Macaca mulatta: one gene and its partner. The protein of the gene in region 1 interacts with the protein of each later gene in a biochemical or structural test. Links are inferred from orthologs where the notes say so. Each region holds a gene or a part of one and is shown on either strand. Other genes may lie near its edges.

Region 1 (10,226 bases):
GGTACGATGTCCTCCCCCTAGGGAACGCCATGGTTCCCCAAGGGCTCTGCAGGGCGGCCCCCTCTGAGGTTCCCTGCCCGACAGCCTCAATGGACAACTCAGGGGCGGCGGCAGCTCTGGCCACGCCTTGCGTTTGCCCCTCCAGAGCCTCCCATCTGCCGTACTCTGTGATTGAGGAGGCTCGTCTCTCTCCTGTGGCTGCTGCCCCTCCAGCCTCTTACCCCGGCTTCCATTTGGGCTGTGCCGAGGGAAGGCACCCGCAGAGGCAGGCAGGGTATTCATTCACAAGGTCCTGCCCTAGAGCTGCGGGGCTGGCTGGCCCCCATACCCTTTCTCTCCCTCCTCCGGCTGCAGCAGGGCAGCAGCTCCCACAGTGCCCAGCCCTGGGTGCCACCCCTTCTGCCCACCCTTGGGTTGCGTCCTGTTTCCTGCCAGGACCCTGCAGGACACACAGGAAGGCCAGGAACCTGCGGGCTGAATGCTTGAGGGCAGGGGAACCAGGATTCCGGACCTGTGGCTGCTGGCGCTCTGGAGCCAGGTGTCGTCGACGGGCGGGGGTACGGGCGTGGACACGGTGCTGGTGCTGATGTCGCCGATGATGTTGAGCGCCTCCTTGAGGGCATGGTACATGCGCAGCATGTCGTCCCGCCGCTGCGCCTGGTCGGCCGACTCCTCCATGAGGCTGCTCTGGTCCGCTGAGGAGTATAGGTAGGCCAGAAGCTCGTGGTGGATGAAGGCCTTCGTCTGTGGGCAGGGGTTGGGGAGGGTCAGGCTTGCACATCACCCCAACCCACAACCCACAGTGATTGCTGGAAAAACGTCTCCCACAGGGCGGGGCCACCCCCAGACGTTTTTGCAATTCTCCTGCCTCAGCCTCCCGAGTAGCTGGGACCACAGGTGCGTGACACCATGCTTGGCTAATTTTTGTAATTTTTGTAGAGATGGGGTTTCACCATGTGGCCCAGGCTGATTATGAGATTCTTATTCAACTTACTTCTACTATCTTGCCTCTTCTATTGATATCTTTTCTCCTGTTTAGCTTATTTATTTATTTCCTTAACCTTGGCAGAATAATCCTGTTATATCTTTTTTTTTTTTTTAAGACGGAGTCTCGCTCTGTTGCCCAGGCTGGAGTGCAGTGGCATGATCTCAGCTCACTGCAACCTCTGCCTCCCGGGTTCATGCCATTCTCCTGCCTCAGCCTCCCAAGCAGCTGGGACCACAGGCACCTGCCACCACGCCCAGCTAATTTTTTTTGTATTTTTAGTAGAGACGGGGTTTTACCGTGTTAGCCAGGATGGTCTCGATCTCCTGACCTCATGATCCGCCCGCCTCAGCCTCCCAAAGTGCTGGGATGACAGGCGTGACCTACCGCGCCCGGCCTCGTTTTTGTATTTTTAGTAGAGGTGGGGTTTCACCATTTTGGCCAGGCTGGTCTTGAACTCCTGACCTCAAGTGATCCGCCCACCTTGGCCTCCCAAAGTGCTGGGATTACAGGCCTGAGCCACCGCACTCAGCTGCCTCCTTCTCATTTTTAGTTCACCACTCACATTGTTGATCATGAGGTGCATGATGGTCTTTGGCATGAGGTCGCGGATGGACTTGTTGATAATGGCCACGTATGAGTCCACCAGGTTGCGAATGGTCTCCACCTGCCGCTCCAGTTGGGGGTCCATGGAGAAGGTGTTCTCCTGGGCCCCGTCCTCGTTTTCTGCCTGCAAGCGGGAGGGGAGGTGCTGAGGGGTGACTATGGCCTGGGGCAAGTCCTGGTTCTCTGGAAACCATCTGCCCTATTGTCCCACCAATAACTGACCCCAGGCTGGCCCCTGACAGCCCCACTGGTACCAGGTAGGCCTGCCTGCCCCGGGCCAGAGCTGCCCAAACAATGGGGTGACACTGGCTGATGCTGGGGTGGATCCCCTCACCTGGGCATTGGAACATCGTTTTTTTTGTTTTTTTTTGACACGGTCTTGCTATGTCACCCAGGCTGCAGTGCAGTGGCACAAACACGGCTCACCGCAGCCTCAACCTCCTGGGTACAGCTCAAGTGATCCTCCCACCTCAGCCCCCTGGAGTAGATGGGATTACAGGGGTGCGTCACCACGCCTGCGTATGTTTGTATTTTTTGGAGAGACAGGGTTTTGCAACATTGCCCAGGCTGTTCTCAAACTCCTGGGTTCAAAGGATCTGCCCGCATCGCTTCCCAAAGTGTTGGGATTACAGGTGTGAGCCATCACACCCAACCTTAGGACATTTTATTTTATTTTTGAGATGGAGTCTCGCTCTGTCGCCCAGGCTGGAGTGCAATAGCATGATCTCAGCTCAATGCAACCTCCACCTCTAGGTTTAAGCGATCTCCTGACTCAGCCTCCCGAGTAACTGGAATTACAGGCATGTGCCACCATGCCCGGCTACTTTTTGTAGTTTTAGTAGAGACGGGGTTTCACCATGTTGGCCAGGCTGGTCTCGAACTCCTGAGCTCAAATGATCTGCCTGCCTCAGCCTTCCAAAGCGCTGGGATTACAGGCGCGAACTATCCAGCGCGCCCGGCAAGACATTTTAATATTGGGGCCAAGGGTGGCCATGTTCACTCCACCTCAGGATGGAGGGGAAAAGAGAGGAGAACAAAGAAGGCGGTACCCCATCCCCTGCGTGCCCTGGTCACTGGCTTCCGTGAGGGAACATTCTGGGCCCTGATGACAAAGTATCTCCAAGTTCTCCTTTGCTTGCTCAAGTGGGCATCTGCTACATGATTTCAGAGGCTCCTGGCTAACATGACCTGAAAATGACCTGTCCTGGGGAAAGCCAGCTCTGCTTCCTCTCCCAGGTGGGGGCCGCTGGGCCGCCGCTGCGCAGGGCGGCTCCTCACCTGGTCCTTCTCAGGGTAGACGCCGGCTCGGAGGAACGAGGCCTTCCAGCTGTCCACGTCCTCCTGGGAGTCACAGGCCAGCTCGATCTGCCGCAGGTCCTTGTAGACGTTTCTGCGGGGGGAGGGAGAGGAGCAGGCTTGACCCTGCCATGGGTCTGGCAGACCACCGGGAGGAGTGGGCTCTAGGGGTCTTTCTGACTGATCAGGAACCCAAACCCAACCCAGGCTTCACCCGGTCATGCCGAGGGATCATGGTGAGTGATGCCTACGCAGAAGATCACTGTGCACTAGCTCGGCAGGTGTCTGTGTTTCTTTATTTCTGTTGGATTAGCTGACTCTTCTCTTTTCCTGGGCCCCCAGAAGTAGGCATGTGACCCTTGACACCCACTGTAGCTGGGAAGCTCCCACTGGGGCATTTTCAGGAAAGCCCAGAGCAGCACTGTCCACCAGAAATTTATTATTATTATTATTATTATTATTATTTTTGAGATGGAGTTTCACTCTTGTTGCCCAGGCTGGAGTGCAATGGCGCAATCTTGGCACACCGCAACCTCCACCTTTCAGGTTCAAGGGATTCTCCTGCCTCAGCCTCCCAAGTACCTGGGATTACAGGCATGCGCCACCACACCTGGCTAATTTTTATATTTTTAGTAGAGACAGGGTTTCTCCATGTTGATCAGGCTGGTCTCGAATTCCTGACCTCAGGTGTTTTGCCTACCTCGGCCTCCCAAAGTGCTGGGATTACAGGCATGAGCCACTTCGCCCGGCTGTGAGTTTTTTTAAAAAAAATTTTGGCCGGGCACAGGGGCTCACGCCTGTAATCCCAACACTTTGGGAGGCCGAGGCAGGAGGATCAACTGAGGTCAGAAGTTTGAGACCAGCCTGGCCAACATGGTGAAACCCCGTCAATACTAAAATAAAAAAAATTAGCCGGGAGTGGTGACGCATTCCTGTAGTCCCAGCTGCTCGGGAGGCTGAGGCAGAAGAATCACTTAAACCTGGGAGGTAGAGGTTGTAGTGAGCCGAGATTGTGCCACCGTCTCCAGCCTGGGTGACAGAGTGAGACTTCGTGTCAAAACAAAACAAAAAAATTTTTGTAAAGGTTAGGCATGGTGGCTCACACCTGTAATTCTTGCACTTTGGGAGGCTGAGACAGGGGGATTGCTTGAGCTCAGGAGCTGGAGACCAGCCTGAGCAACACAGAAAGATCCCCATATCTACAGAAAATACAAAAATTAGCTGGGCATGGTGGCGTGCACCTGTAGCCCCAGCTACTTGGGAGGCTGAAGTGGGAGGATCACTTAAGCATGGGAGGTGGAGGCTGCAATGAGCTGAGATCACGCCACTGCACTCCAGCCTGGGTGACAGAGCAAGACTCCGTCTCAAAAAAAAAAAAAAAAAAAAAAAAAAAAAGAACCAGGGTCTCAAAGCTGGGAGATAAATGGAATGGATGCTAAACAATGCTTGCAGATGGTGGTCTATAGGCCAGGCCCCGTGCCACATGCCATGCATGTTTTCCTGTCCCACATGCAGGTGTGGTTGAGACAGCCAAGCTGCCCCCAAAGCCTTTAAGTGAGACTTGGGTTTGTGGTCAGCAAGTGGCTGCCCTGAACGACCTCTGGATGGGGTTGTGTGGGGAGAGGCATGCCCTTGTAGCTCCTCCTGTCTTCCTTTCTGCTGCTGCCTGGAACATCATCACAATGGCCGGAGCCTGGGCAGCCATTTTGGGCAAAGAAGTAGCAGTCAGGGTTTTGGGCCAGGCATGGTGGCTCATGCCTGTCATCCCAGCACTTTGGGAGGCCGAGGTGGGTGGATCACTTGAGGTCGGGAGTTTGAGACCAGCTTGACCAATATGGAGAAACTCTGTCTCTACTAAAAATAAAAAATTATCCAGGCATGGTGGTGGATGCCTGTAATCCCAGCTACTCGGGAGGCTGAGGCAGGAGAATCGCTTGAACCCAGGAGGCAGAGGTTGCAGTGAGCTGAGATCGCACCATTGCACTCCAGCCTGGGCAACAAGAGCGAAACTCTGTTTCAAAAAAAAAAAGAGTCAGGATTTCGTGGCAGGACTGTCCTACCGCAGAGCTCGGGTTCTGCACACCAGGTGGAATCCTGAGGAACATGCAGGGCCTGGATCCGGATCCCTGTGGAGCTGCTCCACTTTGCCTGGGATACTAAAGTCTGGACTCGATTTACATAAAAACCCATCAACCATCTATCTTGTTTTTGCAGCTATTACTCTGGGTTTCCTGAACCTGCTCTTAAAAGATGTATCAGGTAATATCGTCACCCTCCCTGTAGAGGAGGCACACGGCTCAGGGACCTGGGACAGCTGCCAGGTGCCATACGGCCAGGGGCAAGCCTAGAAGAGCTATGAAGGTTTTCAGGGCCAGCTAGTGGACAAATGGGTCTCAGAGCTTTAGGCCAGCCAGAGCAAAGCAGGAGGGAACCAGGAGACTCAGCTGGAGTTGGTGGGTGTAGCCTAGCAGTAGGCAAGGAGGTGCTGGGGCCAGCAGGGAGGATGTCAGTGCCTGCCTGCGGGTCTCAGGGTACCACCGGGCCTTTGCTGACAGCTAAGCCCTGACTCAGGTGGGCCCTGCTTCCTGGATGAATGCGATTGTGTTGAGCATGGGAGGAGCCCTCCCGCCAGCCGGGTCTCTTCCTGAGAGCAGTGTCCCTGCTAAAGTCTCCAGCCACTGCTTCATGGGACAGATGTACTGTGAGCTTCCTGGGGCCTCCCATTCTCCAGCTTCACTCTCCTGGGAGCTCATCTGGTTTCATCCCTTGAAATACTGTCTACACAATGGTGACTGCCTAGTTCACATCCCAGACTGGAGCTCGTTCCTGGACGTCACACTCCTCGATCTATCCAGGTGCCTGCCTGATGCGCCCTCTCCCTTGGATTGGACTAAATGGAGCTCTTGGCTGTCTCCAGGTCTACCCCGCCGCTGCCTTCCTCACCTCGGCCAATGGCAGCAGCCAGGCAGTGCCGGAGCTCAGGCCCAGGTACTCAGGGTCACCATCGGTGTCTTTCTCTCTCATATCCATGCCCACCAGGGCTCTGCCTGACTCTTCTACCCAGAATCTGCACCCTTCTTCCCTATGGGGTGTGGCCCCATCATCGCCCACTTGGACGAGGCAGTGGCCTTTGCCCTGGTCCCTGGTCTCCCACCCTCTCATACTGTTTCCCTCTCAGCCACCAGAGGGCGACTGCAAGCACCTGAGCCAGGTCCTGGTTACCCTGTGCTCAGAACTCTCCATGTTCCCACCTGACTTGGACCCTGCCTTCATCCTCGTCTCTGCCCAGAGAAGTCACCTCTGACCCAGCACCGGAAGCATCCCTGGCATTTGCTGTTTCTCACCCGACTCCCTTTCTAGAAGGTCGGTCCCAAGGGCAGGGGCTGCTGACAGCCAGGTGCTCAGTGAAGGCTGTGGAGTGTGAATGAGGCCGTTGGTCTTCACCCCGAGCCCTCCCCGGGACCCTGGGGCCCTCACCTCTGCTCCGTGTTGAAGATGGCGAACACGTGCTTGTTGGACATGAAGCCCTTCTCCACGTCACGTATCTTGAGGTTGTCCAGAGGCAGCATGTACTTCTTCTCTTTCTCCTGAGGGTGGACGGGAAAGTCACCCTGTGCTGTCCACGTGACAACTCAGGATGCCCCAGGCCAGAGAGTGCAGCGTGCGCCACCACCGGCCCTAGGGGCTTCTCAATGCTGCTGGTCGCTGCTGTGGATGAGCCCATCTGCCAGCCCCTCCCCGTCCGTCACTCTGTCCCAGCCACGCTGCCCTCCATGATGCTCCCTGAGTATCCCAGGTGGGTTCCTACCCCGGGGCCTTTGGACGACCCAGGCCACTGCCTGATCCAGACACCTGCATGGCTCCCTCCTGCCCTAACTCCACCCGCACCTTCCCCACTTCCACCCTCCTTTCCCCGCACACAACACATCACGTATTCTGCACTTGTTGACCTAGGTGCCCGACTGCCTGTGCTTATTGACCTAGATGGCTGACTGCCACTGGACTGACTCAGTTTCTCCTGTTGAGTTCACTGCTGACATGTGGCTGACTGCATGCGCAACCAAACCACCCCTCGCCTTGCGTGGAGTGAGTGGAACTTTTATCTGGGCTCCATCTTTGAAACGAGCCTAGGAGTGAGTTACCTCTGTGATGCCATTTTACAGAGGTGAAGACTGAGGCAGAGAGGAGCAGGGCTGAGATTTCAACCTTGGCCGCTTTAGGACATCTCAGGGCTGGATAGCTGACGCCTGGGCCAGGTGCTGCAGAAGTCTTAGTCCCTTTTTTTATTATTATCATTATCATTATTTTAATAGAGATGGGGTCTCACTGTGTTGCCCAGGCTGGTCTTAAACTCCTGGGTTCAAGCAAGCCTCTCGAAGTGCTGGGATTACAGGTGTGCGCCACCACACCTGGCCCTATCACTTGCTTTCGAAGGTTGGCCCTGTTCAGGAAGCACCAAACAAGTGCCGGGCATGGCTGCCCAAAATGCTAGGGGGCAGCTCAGAGGAGCTGGGCCCCTCAGCCAGGGGCAAGGGTCACGGAGTCACGGAGTCTGGGGATAGCACCCTGGAGCCCCATGCTCACCCAGTGACATGTGTGCCCACCCGCCACAGCAGCAGCTCTTGGGGACCCATGCCATGCACTGCTTCATCTCAGTTCATGGATCCCTCCCAGCTCAGAAAGGGAAGCTGGCTGCCCAAGGCCACATAGCAGGCAGTGCAAGCCACAGCAGGACTTCAGAGGCCAGGTCCCTGTGACCCAAAGCCCAGTCCTCTCCACAGTGCCCCTGGCCTTTCTTCTCCCTGGGCCATCTCTGGAAACTCCTCTCATGTCCCCTCGCTGTGCTGCCCCAGCACAAAGCCTAACCTGCCTGCCGCCTCCAAGTTTAAGAGCAGCCACAGTGACTGTGGAGAAGGCGGCTGGGGCTCCCTGGCAAGTGGGGGCCGGCTGGGAGTGTCAGGACTTTGCAAGGGAAGCCAGGATGAAGCAGTGGGCTTGGCACATGGGCTCAGTCTCAAGGCGTTAGGAGCTCAGCATGGTTGAGGTGATGCCAGCCCTGCCCTTTCCTGGCCGTGTGCCCTTAGGCAAGCCACTTCCACCATCCCCCCATCTGCACCTCGGTTTCCTCATCTGTCCAAGGAGGACGGAGGAGCTCGGTGCCCGCTGCAGAGCTGGTGCCCATGAGCACCCGGGATTTTCTTTGGTTGCTCTTGTGAGTGGCTCCAGAATTAGCCTTCTAGGCAAGGAAGAAGCAGGGCAGAGCATAGGAAGAGGGGCCCAGCAGCCGTGGAGGGAGCAGAGCGTAGAAGAGCGGCCCGGTGGCCATGGAGGGAGGGACGCCGCTGCAGACCCAAGGGAGGGAGGGTGTTGAAGAAGGCCTGTACCCCCCATCCCAGGCAAGGCTGGGTAACACAGGGCCTGAGTCCCTCCTGCCTCTCGGGGAAGAGTTTTGGGGGCTTTAGAAGGGGCCAGGAGAGGGGGCTCTGCAGAAGCCCTGCCCCCCACCCGGACGTTTGCCCAAGGGCCTTTGCTGTCCTGACTCTATCGTGTCATGCAGCCGGAAGCTTCCGTCCAGCGGGGCCAAGTAACTGAGTCACAGGCCGTTCCAGCTAACGCCACATCTGGAACTGTTTACAGTGCGATTCTGCCCAGAAAGCAGTGGCCGCCTTCCTGGGGCTGCCGGCACGCACACTCGCGCACACACACACGCGCGCGCGCGCGCACACACACACACAGAGGCATGTGTGCGCCCCTCCTCCCCACCCCCGACCCCCAGAGAGTCAGACTTTCTCCTGAGCCCAGAAGCCACGATCCCAAACCCTGCCTCCTGCCTCCGCCTCCCCCACTCTTTAGGATTTCCTGAAAACCCAGAACTTTCTCCAGATGCAAGCCGGCCCCAGCCTTGCCACGTCAGAGGGGACAGAGCGGATCGTCTCGGGAGGAGTGGTGGTTTCCCTGGCTGCTCAGAGGTGCTCAGGCGCGGCCTGGCCTGGTGGCTCCGGCGTCTGCCTGGGGGGTGCTGCGGGATGGACAGCCGGCCTCGCCAACCCAGTGTTCAGACTACCTGTTCAGGAGGCTCTCAACGTGTACAGTAGTCTGCACATTGGTTAGGCTGGGCTTGGGTGAGCGGCGCGTCGAGACAGGCCCCCCAAACTCGCCGGCAGGTGAGTGTCATTTTCCACCACCCCGTTTCCCACTGCGGTGAAGCCTGACATAGAAGATTCGAGGGCCTGGGTGGGAGAAGAGGTGCTGGGGAAAGGCAGAGGGAGCCCTGAGGCCGGCCGAGGGGTTGGGGGCCCTGGCCCTATCAGTCCGCCATCCCCACCCCATGGCTATAAACGTCTTCTCGTTTAATCTTTAAATAAAGAGATACCGATGTCTTGCGTCCCACTGAGGCATCTAAGAGGGTGGCCTGATCCTCAGGGGTGGCTGCCACATGTGTGACTCCAAGGGTCCCTGCTGGGATCCTAACTTGGGTGGTGGTAGGGGACACGTTCCATGGCTACCCCCTCCTGACTAGAGCCTGCTTTGTGTCTGGGGCGCACACAGTGCCCCTTTCACAGGTCGGCTGTTTCTCATTACGGCCGGTGCCCGGCCCTTCTCCCACCGCTGCTCCAGACTCCAATCTGGGGCTCCACAGGAGGGTCGGGGGCTCTGGCTTTCAACCCTGAGATGAGGAAAACACGAAGGGCCCCTCATGTGAGAGAAGAGATCTGACAACCAGACTTGCAGTGCTGCCAGGCAGAGAGCCGGCAGGGTAAGGTTCAGGCCCAGAGGCTCCTCCAGGGCTCGCCGCCCCAGGCCTGGCACTCCCACCCAGGGGACCCTGGAAGGTCCCCACAGCCCTAAACTGAAAGGCAGGGGACCAGCTCTCAGCCGGCCCGACAGCCCACACGCCACAGCGCAGGCTGCTTTCTGACTGCAAGGAGGAAAGAGGGGAGGAAAGTGAAGGGCACCCCACCCCACCCCGGCCATTTTGAGGAGCCATCCGATCCGGACACGTGAGTTCCTAGAGGAGCGTGAGGCAGGGGAGAAGACTGCAGACCACGCCTGGCCCCACACTCCTCCCACATCCCAACCCCATGAGGTTCGCTGGATCTGAGGTTCTGGAAGGTTCCACAGGGACCCCAGAAATGCTTGCATGGTGGCTCAGCAGACTCCACCACCCTGGGTTAAGAAATAGCACCCCAGAGTCCCGCAGAGGCCTCAGGGCTCCTGAGGCTTCCGGAACATTCCAGAGATGAGCGTCTGGCCTCGTGTGGAGTGGGATGACCCTTTCACCCCAGCGCCCTCGGTCAAGGGGACATCAGGCCTGGGCTGGGCGGAGGTGTCTGGATGT
Region 2 (10,226 bases), on another chromosome or scaffold:
TGACTGTTCTCACTATTTCTATTCAACAGCATACAGGGAGTCCTAGCAAGTGCAATAAGGCGAAAACAGAAATAGAAGGCCCATGGATTGGGAAAGATGAAATAAAACTCTCTATTCCAAGCTGACATGATTGTCTACATTAAAAAAGAAAAGAGAAAAAAACCAAAGCATCCATACCCACAAAAAAAGCTCCTGGAACTACTGAGTTTAGCAAGGCCACAGATAAAAAGTGCATATAAAAAAATCAATTGTATCTCTATATGCAATACATAACTAGAAAACAAATAGTACCATTTACAATACAACTCTCCAATGAAATTCTTACACATAAATTTTTTGTTTTTTTGAGACAAAGTCTAACTCTGTCACCCAGGCTGGAATGCAGTGGCGTGATCCCGGCTCACTGCAACCTCCACCTCCCGGATTCAAGCAATTCTCCTGCCTCAGCCTCCTGAGTAGCTGGGACTACAGGTGCACACCACCACGCCTGGCTAATTTTTTTTTTTCCAGTAGAGATGGGGTTTCACCACGTTGGCCAGGTTGGTCTCAAACTCCTGACCTCAGGTGATCCACCTGCCTCAGCCTCCCAAAGTGCTGAGATTACAGCTGTGAGCCACTGTGCCTGGCCTGAAATTCTTACATATAAATCTAACAAAATATATGCAGAATCTGTATGTTGAAGACTCCAAAGCCCTAATGAAAATAAAATATGATACATTTATATATGGAGAAGATGAGATATCAAGATGTGAAAATTGTTCCATAGAATCAACGCAGTTCCAATAAAAATTCCAGCATGATTATAAATATCTACAAACTGACATTTAAATTTACAAGGAAAGGAAAAGAAAAAGAATAGCCAAAACAGTGTTGTAAAGGAACCAAGTTGGAGGATTCACGCTACCTGATTTAAAGACTTACCATAAAGCTACACAAGTCAAGACAGTGCAGGACTGGAGAAAGGGATGGACACATAAATCAATGGAACAGAACAGAATCCAGAAATAAACCCACAAATACAATCAACTGATTTTTTTCTTTTACAAACATCATTCTAATAAATGTAAAACAGATCTGTCTTTCCAAAAGATGGTGTGAGACCCACTGAATATCCTGATGAAAAAAAAAAAAATGCACTACCTCTACCGCACTGCACACCTTATATAAAAATAACCTCAAAATGTATCAAAGACCTAAATGAAAAGCCTAAAACTACAAAACCTTTAGAAGAAAATGTTGTGAATTGATCTTAGCCATGACACCTCAAGCACAGTCCATGAAAGAAAAAACTGATACAGTGAACTTCATTAAAGTTAAAAGCCTTTGTTATGCAAAAGACACTGTTAAGAAAATAATAAGGCTAGTGTGGTAGCTCCTGCCTCTAATCCCAACACTTTGGGAGGCTGAAGTGGGTGGATCGCTTGAGCTCAGGACTTCGAGACCAGCCTACGCAACAGGGTGAAAACCCTGTCTCTACCAAAAATACAAAAAATTCACAAGAAGTGTTGATGAGAGCCTGCAGTCCCCTAGTTACTCAGGAGGCTGAGGCTGGAAGACTGCTTGAGCCCGGGAGGTCAAGGTCAAGGTTGTAGTGAGCTGAGATGGTTGACATTGCATTCCAGCCTGGGCGACCAGAGTGAGACCCTGTCTCAAAAAAAAAAAAAAAAAAAAAAAAAAAGAAAGAAAAAGAAAATGACAAGCCAAGCCACAGCTGCGACAAGTTATTTGCAAATCACTTATCTAACAAAGAACTTGTTTCTAGAATATATACATATTTTTAAAAATCTCAGGATTCAACAACAAGAAAACAGACTGATACAAAATGAGCACAAGATGTGAACAGACGCTTCAGCACCGAAGACCTACAGATGGGAAATAAGCACATGAAGAGATGCTCGGCCCCACTCGCCATCAGGAAATGCAAATCAAAACCACGCTGAGATCCCACTGCATACCTATCGGACTGGTTAAAACGAGGAAAACCGGACACTATCAAGTGCAGGTAGGGATGTGGAACTACTGATACTCTCATATATTGCTGGTGAGGATTCCAAAATGGTATAGCCTCTTTGAAAAACAGTCGAGCAATTTCTTAAACATTAAACATATACTTGCCAAATGACCCAGTCATTTTACTCTTATTTACCCAAGAGGAATGAAAACTTATGTTCATGCAAAAACCTGTTTGCAAATGTTTATGGCAGCTTTATTCATAATTGCCAAAAGCTGGAAACCCAAATGTCCTTCAATGAGTGAATGGATAAACAAGCTATGGTATATCTAAACACTGGAATACTATTGGCCTCAAAAGGAACAAACTATTGACACAACAAAATGAATGAATTGCAAATGCGTTATGCTAAATGAAAGCAGTCAGACTCGAAAGACTATACACTGCATGCTTCCATTTATAATGACATTCTAGAAAACACAAAATTATGAACACAAAGAACACATCAGCTGTTGCCATGGTTAGGACTAGGGGGATGGGCAGCACGAGGGAACCTGGGGAGGTGACGGAGCTGTTCTGTATCATGAAATCTAGTGGTGGTTGCAAGACTGCAGTGGTAGCTGTCAAAACTCAGAACTCTACACCAAAAAGAATGAATTTACTGTACCTAAATTTAAAAGTAAAATTTAAAAAATGAAACCTGAACTTTCCTTTAGAAACTACAAGTATAAGTCAGGCAATGGTGGCGTGCACCTATAATCCCAGCTACTTGGGAGGCTGAGGTGGGAGGATCACTTGAGTCCAGGAGGTCAAGGCTGCAGTGAGCTATGACTGTGCCACTGCACTCCAGGCTGGGTAACAGAGCAAGACCCTGTCTCCAAAAATAAATAAATAATAGATAGTATTATGCACCTATATATCAAAAACTTTTATTACCTAAAAAGTGGATTTGAACAGAACAATGAGTCTAGACACTGTCAGTGTACTACAGCATTGCAAACTTTGCATTTACTAGCAGTAGATTAAGCAGAAGCAAAGCCTTGTAACTTGGAAAAACGATAATCCACCTCCTGGCCAGAAAGCCAGCCTGGACCTGGGATAAGATGAACCTCCCATTACGGCCAGGTGAGTTATACCCAGAGTTCATTATCCAATCATTGGTTGAAATTTAGAGATTCTTATTTTATTGAAAAATTACTCTTGTGAAAATTTTTCTGACACAGCTGGTTTCTCTTTAAGCTTATGACTTCAGATGTTATTTTACGTTTGGTAGAATTTTCAGACCAAGTTGCAAAGAATTAGAAAGAAGGAGGAACTTTTATTTCTCTGTTTTCCATGAACCTTACTAAGGTTTTCAATAAGTATATGAATGTATCAGTTTGGTCCCAGGAGTAAAATCATATTCATTCAATATTATTTCCATAAAAAAATCTCTAAACAAATACAGAAATGTTAACTGTACACTTTTTCATGGATTAATTATCGAGTCCACAGGAATATCACAGCATCACCTACTAAGCATTCCTTTTTCTTTTCTTCTGTAGTTAAGTGAGAGGAGAGCTCTCATATAATAATGATCTATGGGCATCCCAGGCAGGAGGCAAACAAGTGAGAGGGGGGAAATAGAGCCCTTCTGTGCTGTTTGGCTTCCTTGGCTCATATCCCAGTTAGTGAATCAAAGCTAAACTTTCTTCACACCGAGGGGCTGCTGCTTGCTCGCTTTTCTATGACATTCCCCTCCCTGGCTGCACGCCTGAACTTACTTTTTTTAAACAAATCTTAGTATGGAAGGAGAACCGTGACTCTCTGAAGCTTTACAAGAGTACTGAATTATTCAGAATAAACAATGTATTACAATCTAAAAGATACGAGAATTTCTTACAAGCCCGAAACAGGCCATTAACCCATGTATTTAAACACCACGGAGCACACGCTGTGCTAACCAAGTTGATAAAGGACAGTACAAAATTCAAGGAAATAGACTATAATTTTAAATGGCAGAACTGAAGTTTTCATGGAAAGAAATCTGTATTTTTAAAGAGAAAGCTGTGATTGAAAGCAATAAGGACGACAAAAAGGAGGTACAGGGAGTGTCTGAACTGGGTTAGAAGTAGGGGTGCGGTCAGTGCCTCTGGGCGGAAGGCAGCAGCAGCCCGGCCCTCTGGCTGTCACTCCATGGCCCCAGCATCACGAGGCACCACTCAAGTGTCACCCAGGGGACTGTGGGGATGTGTTTATCTACCCAGCAGTGCAGCCCCATTTTCAATTTTCCTATGACAATTTGAAATTTTTGAAATGTTTTCCAAAAAAATCAAAATCAAAACTTTTAAAACAAAACTTTCCATCTCCACAAAACACTTCAGGGAAAAACAAACATAAAACAAAGTAAAATATAAAGTAATGTTTTAAGGAGAATAATTTACTCATTGTATGAATACTAATTCTAGGGGAAGATTTAGTCAGTCCACATCTTAACATAAACAGAGTAAGCTGTGGGATCAGGTTCACATTCCTTTTTCGACAATAGAGAGGGGAACCTGTTTAATGTTTGGATTTCCATTTCCTCATACATAAAGTGAAGATGAAAATGACTATCTGTGAGGACAGATGAGAGGCACTTGGGAAGTGTCCAGGCAGGCACACGTGGGACTCCACGGGGATGCTGACATGTCTCCATCTGGCACTGCCACCTGGCTGTGAAGAGTCGCAGGCCCTCTCTGAACTGTTAGACTCTTGCGAATGCAGTGAGAATTCCACCGCCTCTGGTCTTCCCTGACCTTTGGGAAAGAACCCTTCCTTCACCCCTCCATGTTGCTTCTCCATGGGTTCAGGTGAGCCTCTCGGCGTCTCCTTCACATCTCTTTCAGGCCTCCTGGCTCTGACCTTTGAAGACCTCCTCTCACTCTCAATCCACTCCTTTCTATTTTCACTAGTTCATGTATATGAACATTTCTAGCAATATACTAAACTCTGCCTAACCTTTAAGTCCATTTCTTCACAAACTTTATTATTTTATTTATTTATTTATTTATTTATTTATTTTTTGAGACAGAGTCTCGCTCTGTCGCCTGGGCTGGAGTGCAGTGGTGCGATCTCAGCTCATCGCAACCTCTGCCTCCTGGGTTTACGCCATTCTCCTGCCTCAGCCTCCCCAGGAGCTGGGACTACAGGCGCCTACCACCTCACCCGGCTGATTTTTTAGTAGAAACGGGGTTTCACCGTGTTAGCCAGGATGGTCTCCATCTCCTGACCTCGTGATTCGCCCGCCTCGGCCTCCCAAAGTGCTGGGATTACAAGCGCGAGCCACCGTGCCCGGCCCACGACCTTTATTTTGACACACACATGCTGAGTCCCTGAGTGCCTACACAGAGTAGCAGAGTCTATGCTAGGCTGGAGATTAAAAACAAAAACCATTCCCAGACACAAAAACAAACCTTTCTACCTGCATACTTACAAGGTGCTCTAGTAACACCATGGGTTATTTACCAAGATATTCTTGGGGGTGGGGGAGAGGAGGGAATGTGGCACTTAAAAAACAAGAGAAGGCAGAAGGTAGTAATCAAAATAAATAGAAAATGGCACTTTTAAAAAACAAGAAAAGGGAGAGGGTAATAATCAAAGCAAGCAGAAAACCGGGCAGCTTCTTCCTTCGTTAACACTTAGCAGTTCTGTGGCTTCTCCGTCCAGTGCTCACTGATCTAATGAAATAACGCAGCTCATCTGCATAACCTGTTTGCATCATGTGGGTCATATGTTTTTGTTTCCATTTTAGGCTATCTGAATCATTTGTTTTTTCAGGTGTCATTTTTCACATATTTTAAATGTACACATTTCTTTTGGAGAAAGAGTACAGCAATGAAGGCAATGACTCTGCTGGAATTCAACACACATACCAAGACCAGTGATTTGTACATTAAACGTTCTTGTTAGATGTTTAGGCAACTTCCAGATACATGTACAACATGCTATGGTTCTCTCTTCATAGCTGTATTTAATTACTGTTCCCAACTCCTGCCTCCTGCTGCTCTACAGGATGGAAAACGCCATCACTGACTTATAGGAGGATAATCTGACTTGAGTCTTTTTATTTATCATGCTGGGTTTAGCATTAAACACACTCACCTGTGACTTGCTTGTCTGGAAGAGAAGGGATTGGAATGGCTGACCCAAACTTAACCAGGAGACGCTCATATAACCAGTCAAAGTGCTTATACCTGTGGTTTACAGATCGATTAGTGTTCTACAAAATAAGCGGAAGAGAAAAGGTTACCAATGCCAACTCTAGAAAATGAAGAAAAAAGCAAGCTGCGATCAGTGATCCACACGATTCTGCTTTTGATAACGTGGATACTTACAGTGGGTGTTAGCTGATATTCAATGTAGCTCTTCAGACCATACATTTTGGAGCCTTTCCTGGGATCTGCTACCACACAGTCAAATGTAGAGGTAGGATAAACCCACATTGGGCCATAATCTCCAACCTATGCAATGTTCCAGAAATAAGTAATTTTGTTACATGGAAAAATAATAAATATAATTGATGTGAGTCAGCAAGTCATTCTTTTCAGAATGAGAAGTCCTTTGGAGGGTCATTCTTGTTCCTCTTTGAAAGGTACATATATGGTTCAATGGTTTCTGTTCCTGTTAGATACTATGTTTAAAGAACGCACCTGTGGGAAACCCTTCTGCTCCCATGTGGGTAGCTCAGCCCAGGGAGAGGAGACACCAGCTTCCCTCTCCTGAGGAGAGTGCTAGTTACAAAACAATGTTTCTTTATAGTCTAGCTGTCTCAAGCTACATGTGATGAAGGACTAGTTTTTAAAAATTTCCAATAATAGTTTGGTGAAATATAACATCATACATTTTGATTTTTCAACAATACCAAATTGTCCTCAAGTTTTCTAAATATTCTCATGTTCCATACCAATCTCATGGTGGATCAGGAACAAGCAGTTTTCAGATGGGCCACTGGTCTAGTAGCATTGCTGTGGCTCAGAGAAGCGATTAGTCAGATTGGCCAGAGATGATGGCCAGTTTTACTACTAGTGGCAGGGTGAGGGGAGGGGGAGGTACTATGTCTTAAAAGCAAGAACCAGGCTTGCTGTTTTTCCGTGGGCTGCTGTGCCTAAGCACAGTGGGCTGGCTCACTTCCAACCCCCCAGGTATCACACCCACCTGGGCAAGGCTTGCCCGAAGAGGGTAGGCCTCCATTCCTTTCGCACTGGCCTTCTCTTCTATCTGTGACTAGGGGCACAAGTTCACAAATTCAGGCGAGGCTTACACTAGCTCACTGGGGTTTTAGCTGTGGTGGGAGGTGAGGAAGGGAAATCAGCTAAGTTCTATGTGGGGGTGTAGAGACCACGTGTGTAAGTTTTGAGCCTGAGAATCATTTCTGCTAGGCATTGCTAGGTGACAATAGGTCTGCTGTCCCAAACCTGGTGTTTTCAACTTATTTAAAACAGCATCCAAGGCCATGGGGGCAGCTGCAGAGGAACCTGGATGCTGGAGCTCATGTACAGGCTCCTGAAATCACTCCCTGAGTCACCAACAGTCTCAAGCTGGTTCTGCCTCATTCATTTCATAAACTTCGACCACAATGACAGACTCCAGAGATTCAGACCGTAGGACAGTACCTCTTATGAAAACATATTGCAGAGCAATAGAAGTCCTTATTATACTGAGAATGTTATCTATCTTCTTGGCTTAACAACGAAAAATAATTGAGTTACAATCCAAGACAAGAATGAAAAGCAAACACACGGACTGTAAAAAGACCCACTGTTCAGGAAGCGGGTTCACTCAGAGATCCATCCAGAGACTCAAGGAGAATGAAATAATTCATGAACAGGTTTTACTCTTGCAGATTTGAAAAAGTACAGTAAGAAAGTAAAAAGAAAGTGAGAAAAATCACACAGATTGTGCTGAAGGAAGAGAGATTTGTTCAGGCTGAGACCTCAGAGAGGCAAGGCCAGACAGACATAAAAAGGAAAAAAAAGTATACCCAGTCCTAGTTTTTTTTTTTTTTTTTTTTTTTTTAAGTGGAAGATGGGAAAAGCGGATTGGGATATTTAAGTCCAGAGTCTGTTAGGTCAGGAAGGTGCCCTACTGTAAGGATAGGAGCAGTTTAAAAAGAGACTAAAATCTCTGAGAACAAATTAATATAACGCCCGCAGAGAGGGCCCAGATCCAAGAAACTACCCGAAAGGTGCAGAGGAGATGACTTTCGGGGGCTCCCTCAGTGAGTGGGCTGAGAGCGGCAACTGCGCTTGGGTAGTGCCCAATTTCATGGGTCTCTGTTTCATGAGAAGGCAAGGTTACGGCACTTTTAGAGCAAAGAGTTAGTCTTTGCTTTCTCTGGGCCTCCTGAAGATGCGGTGGCTTTCCCCAGCTTCTTCCATGTATGGACGCCCACACAGGCAGACCCGCCTACTGGCTGCATGGGTCCAGTTCTACCTAAAACTTGCGGGTCAATGAAAGGGTGGAACCCTTAACTCTGTACCACCACTGCACGCTTGGGACAAAGTCCCCTTTAAGAATCTGAGGCAGGCCGGCTGCGGGGGCTCATGCCTGTAATCCCAGCACTTTGGGAGGCCGATGCAGGTGGATCACAAGGTCAGGAGTTCAAGACCAGCCTGGCCAATATGGTGAAACCCCATCTCTACTAAAAAATACAAAAAGAATTAGCCAGACGTGGTGGCTTATGCCTATAATCCCAGCTACTTGGGAGGCTGAGGCAGGAGAATTGCTTGAACCCGTGAGGCAGAGGTTGCAGTGAACCAAGATCGCGCCACTGCACTCCAGCCTGGGTGACAGAGTGAGACTCTGTCTTAAAAACAAACAAACAAACAAACAAAAAACAAAAAAACAAAACTGAGGCAGAGCTGTGCGCTCTTGATTTTGAGGAGTGTTAAATCTCATGAAAAGAATAATGGTACATGTTCACTTATTTAAGTCCAGAGAAAACAGGAAAAAAATCTTTAATATAACTACTCAGAAGTTAATTACCCCAAATTTGCTTTGAGGGAAAAAGCATAAAAAGGGCTCTTGGTTACAGCTCTTCAGTCTGGAGGCTTCCAGGGTTTAGAGTTTTTCAAACATGCAGGCACAAGTAATTAAAGAATCTAATACTATTCCTGCAATTTTATCAAGTCTCCAAAGATTACAGAATAAGACCAGATGTTTCCTCATCCTTGATTGAGTCCAGGGTGAGAACACTCAAGACTTCAGGTTCCCAATCTGATTGTTACAGGGTTAAGTCAACAGGATCAGAAGAGAGCTATACTTCTCTTTTCCAGAATTTCATTTGGGAATCTACAACTAAATATCACCTAGACAGAAAATCTATCACCAATGAAAATGTGGAATGAAACCAAAGGGCTTGTGTCACGTTATGCGATGACCAAGTAATTCTAAGACAGATATTCTTAATGATGTCCTTAACTCCCAGCTTTTATTTGGTAGCTCCGTATCTCGATTTGACAGCTGGCTTACTGGAAAAAACACTATTACCAATATATCTGAAAGGGCACCTTATTCTGATAACAAACATGTACTTTACAAGGGAAGAAACAAATATTTGAATTGAGTTCATCAGTGAAACATATAGGGCTGACAGAAAAACAGTATGTAAAATACACTTCAAGACATTTTAGAAAAAAATGATCAAAATAGTACGTTTTATGAGTGTTTGTTCAATACTAAAGGTCTGAAAGATAAAGAATAAACAATATAATGACAGGCATTAATTTGTGTTAATTATCTTCAGTACTCCTACAACACTAACACATATTATCTGTTATTTGGGACATTAAATATATTTAAAAATACTTTCCAAAAGATGAATAACTCGCTTAGCTTTAAGGTACAGTGTTAAGAGTTTAATCAGAAAGAAAGCAAACAAAAACAAACAAACTTACAATGATGGGAATTTTCTCTTTGGGCTTTGCTAGTTGTTTGGCCAACAAATACTGTTCCGTGCCAGGTTTCGCAAATCCAGGAAATCTAATCATGAATACAAAGGTTCGTCAATCTTAAGTCTTTCCTTGTAAGAATTTTACAACTCTCGTCCACATTTACTGAATTTACCAATTTTAACCTTGTCCTGTCTTTCGGGTGCACTACAACTAGGAAACTGTGGTAAACGAAACCTAATGTAATCAGATTGTTCAATGGCCAATTAGGCATTTAATTAAGCTTGATCTGGTAAGGAGAACAGTTTGACTCCTGAAGGTGTGATGTTTACGGGCACTCTATTTGCTTGACCATGTCTGAAACA

What was found. The genes of interacting proteins can lie anywhere in the genome.
Region 2: the proteins of DNM2 (region 1) and SNX9 form a complex in vitro, tested with the Homo sapiens proteins (2 studies listed by BioGRID and IntAct, with this or other methods). The link is inferred for Macaca mulatta from reciprocal best matches to the Homo sapiens genes DNM2 and SNX9.

The regions. Positions count from the first base shown.
Region 1 is NC_133424.1:11,553,572-11,563,797, reverse strand, and holds part of DNM2 (dynamin-2), read right to left. Parts: intron 9,001-10,226; exon of another isoform or gene 8,930-9,000; intron 6,475-8,929; coding exon 6,365-6,474; intron 2,982-6,364; coding exon 2,870-2,981; intron 2,054-2,869; coding exon of another isoform or gene 2,030-2,053; intron 1,716-2,029; coding exon 1,551-1,715; intron 745-1,550; coding exon 512-744; exon of another isoform or gene 453-511; intron 1-452. UniProt on the Homo sapiens protein: Catalyzes the hydrolysis of GTP and utilizes this energy to mediate vesicle scission at plasma membrane during endocytosis and filament remodeling at many actin structures during organization of the actin cytoskeleton.
Region 2 is NC_133409.1:76,774,135-76,784,360, reverse strand, and holds part of SNX9 (sorting nexin-9), read right to left. Parts: intron 9,953-10,226; coding exon 9,868-9,952; intron 6,433-9,867; coding exon 6,307-6,432; intron 6,192-6,306; coding exon 6,074-6,191; intron 1-6,073. UniProt on the Homo sapiens protein: Involved in endocytosis and intracellular vesicle trafficking, both during interphase and at the end of mitosis. Required for efficient progress through mitosis and cytokinesis. Required for normal formation of the cleavage furrow at the end of mitosis.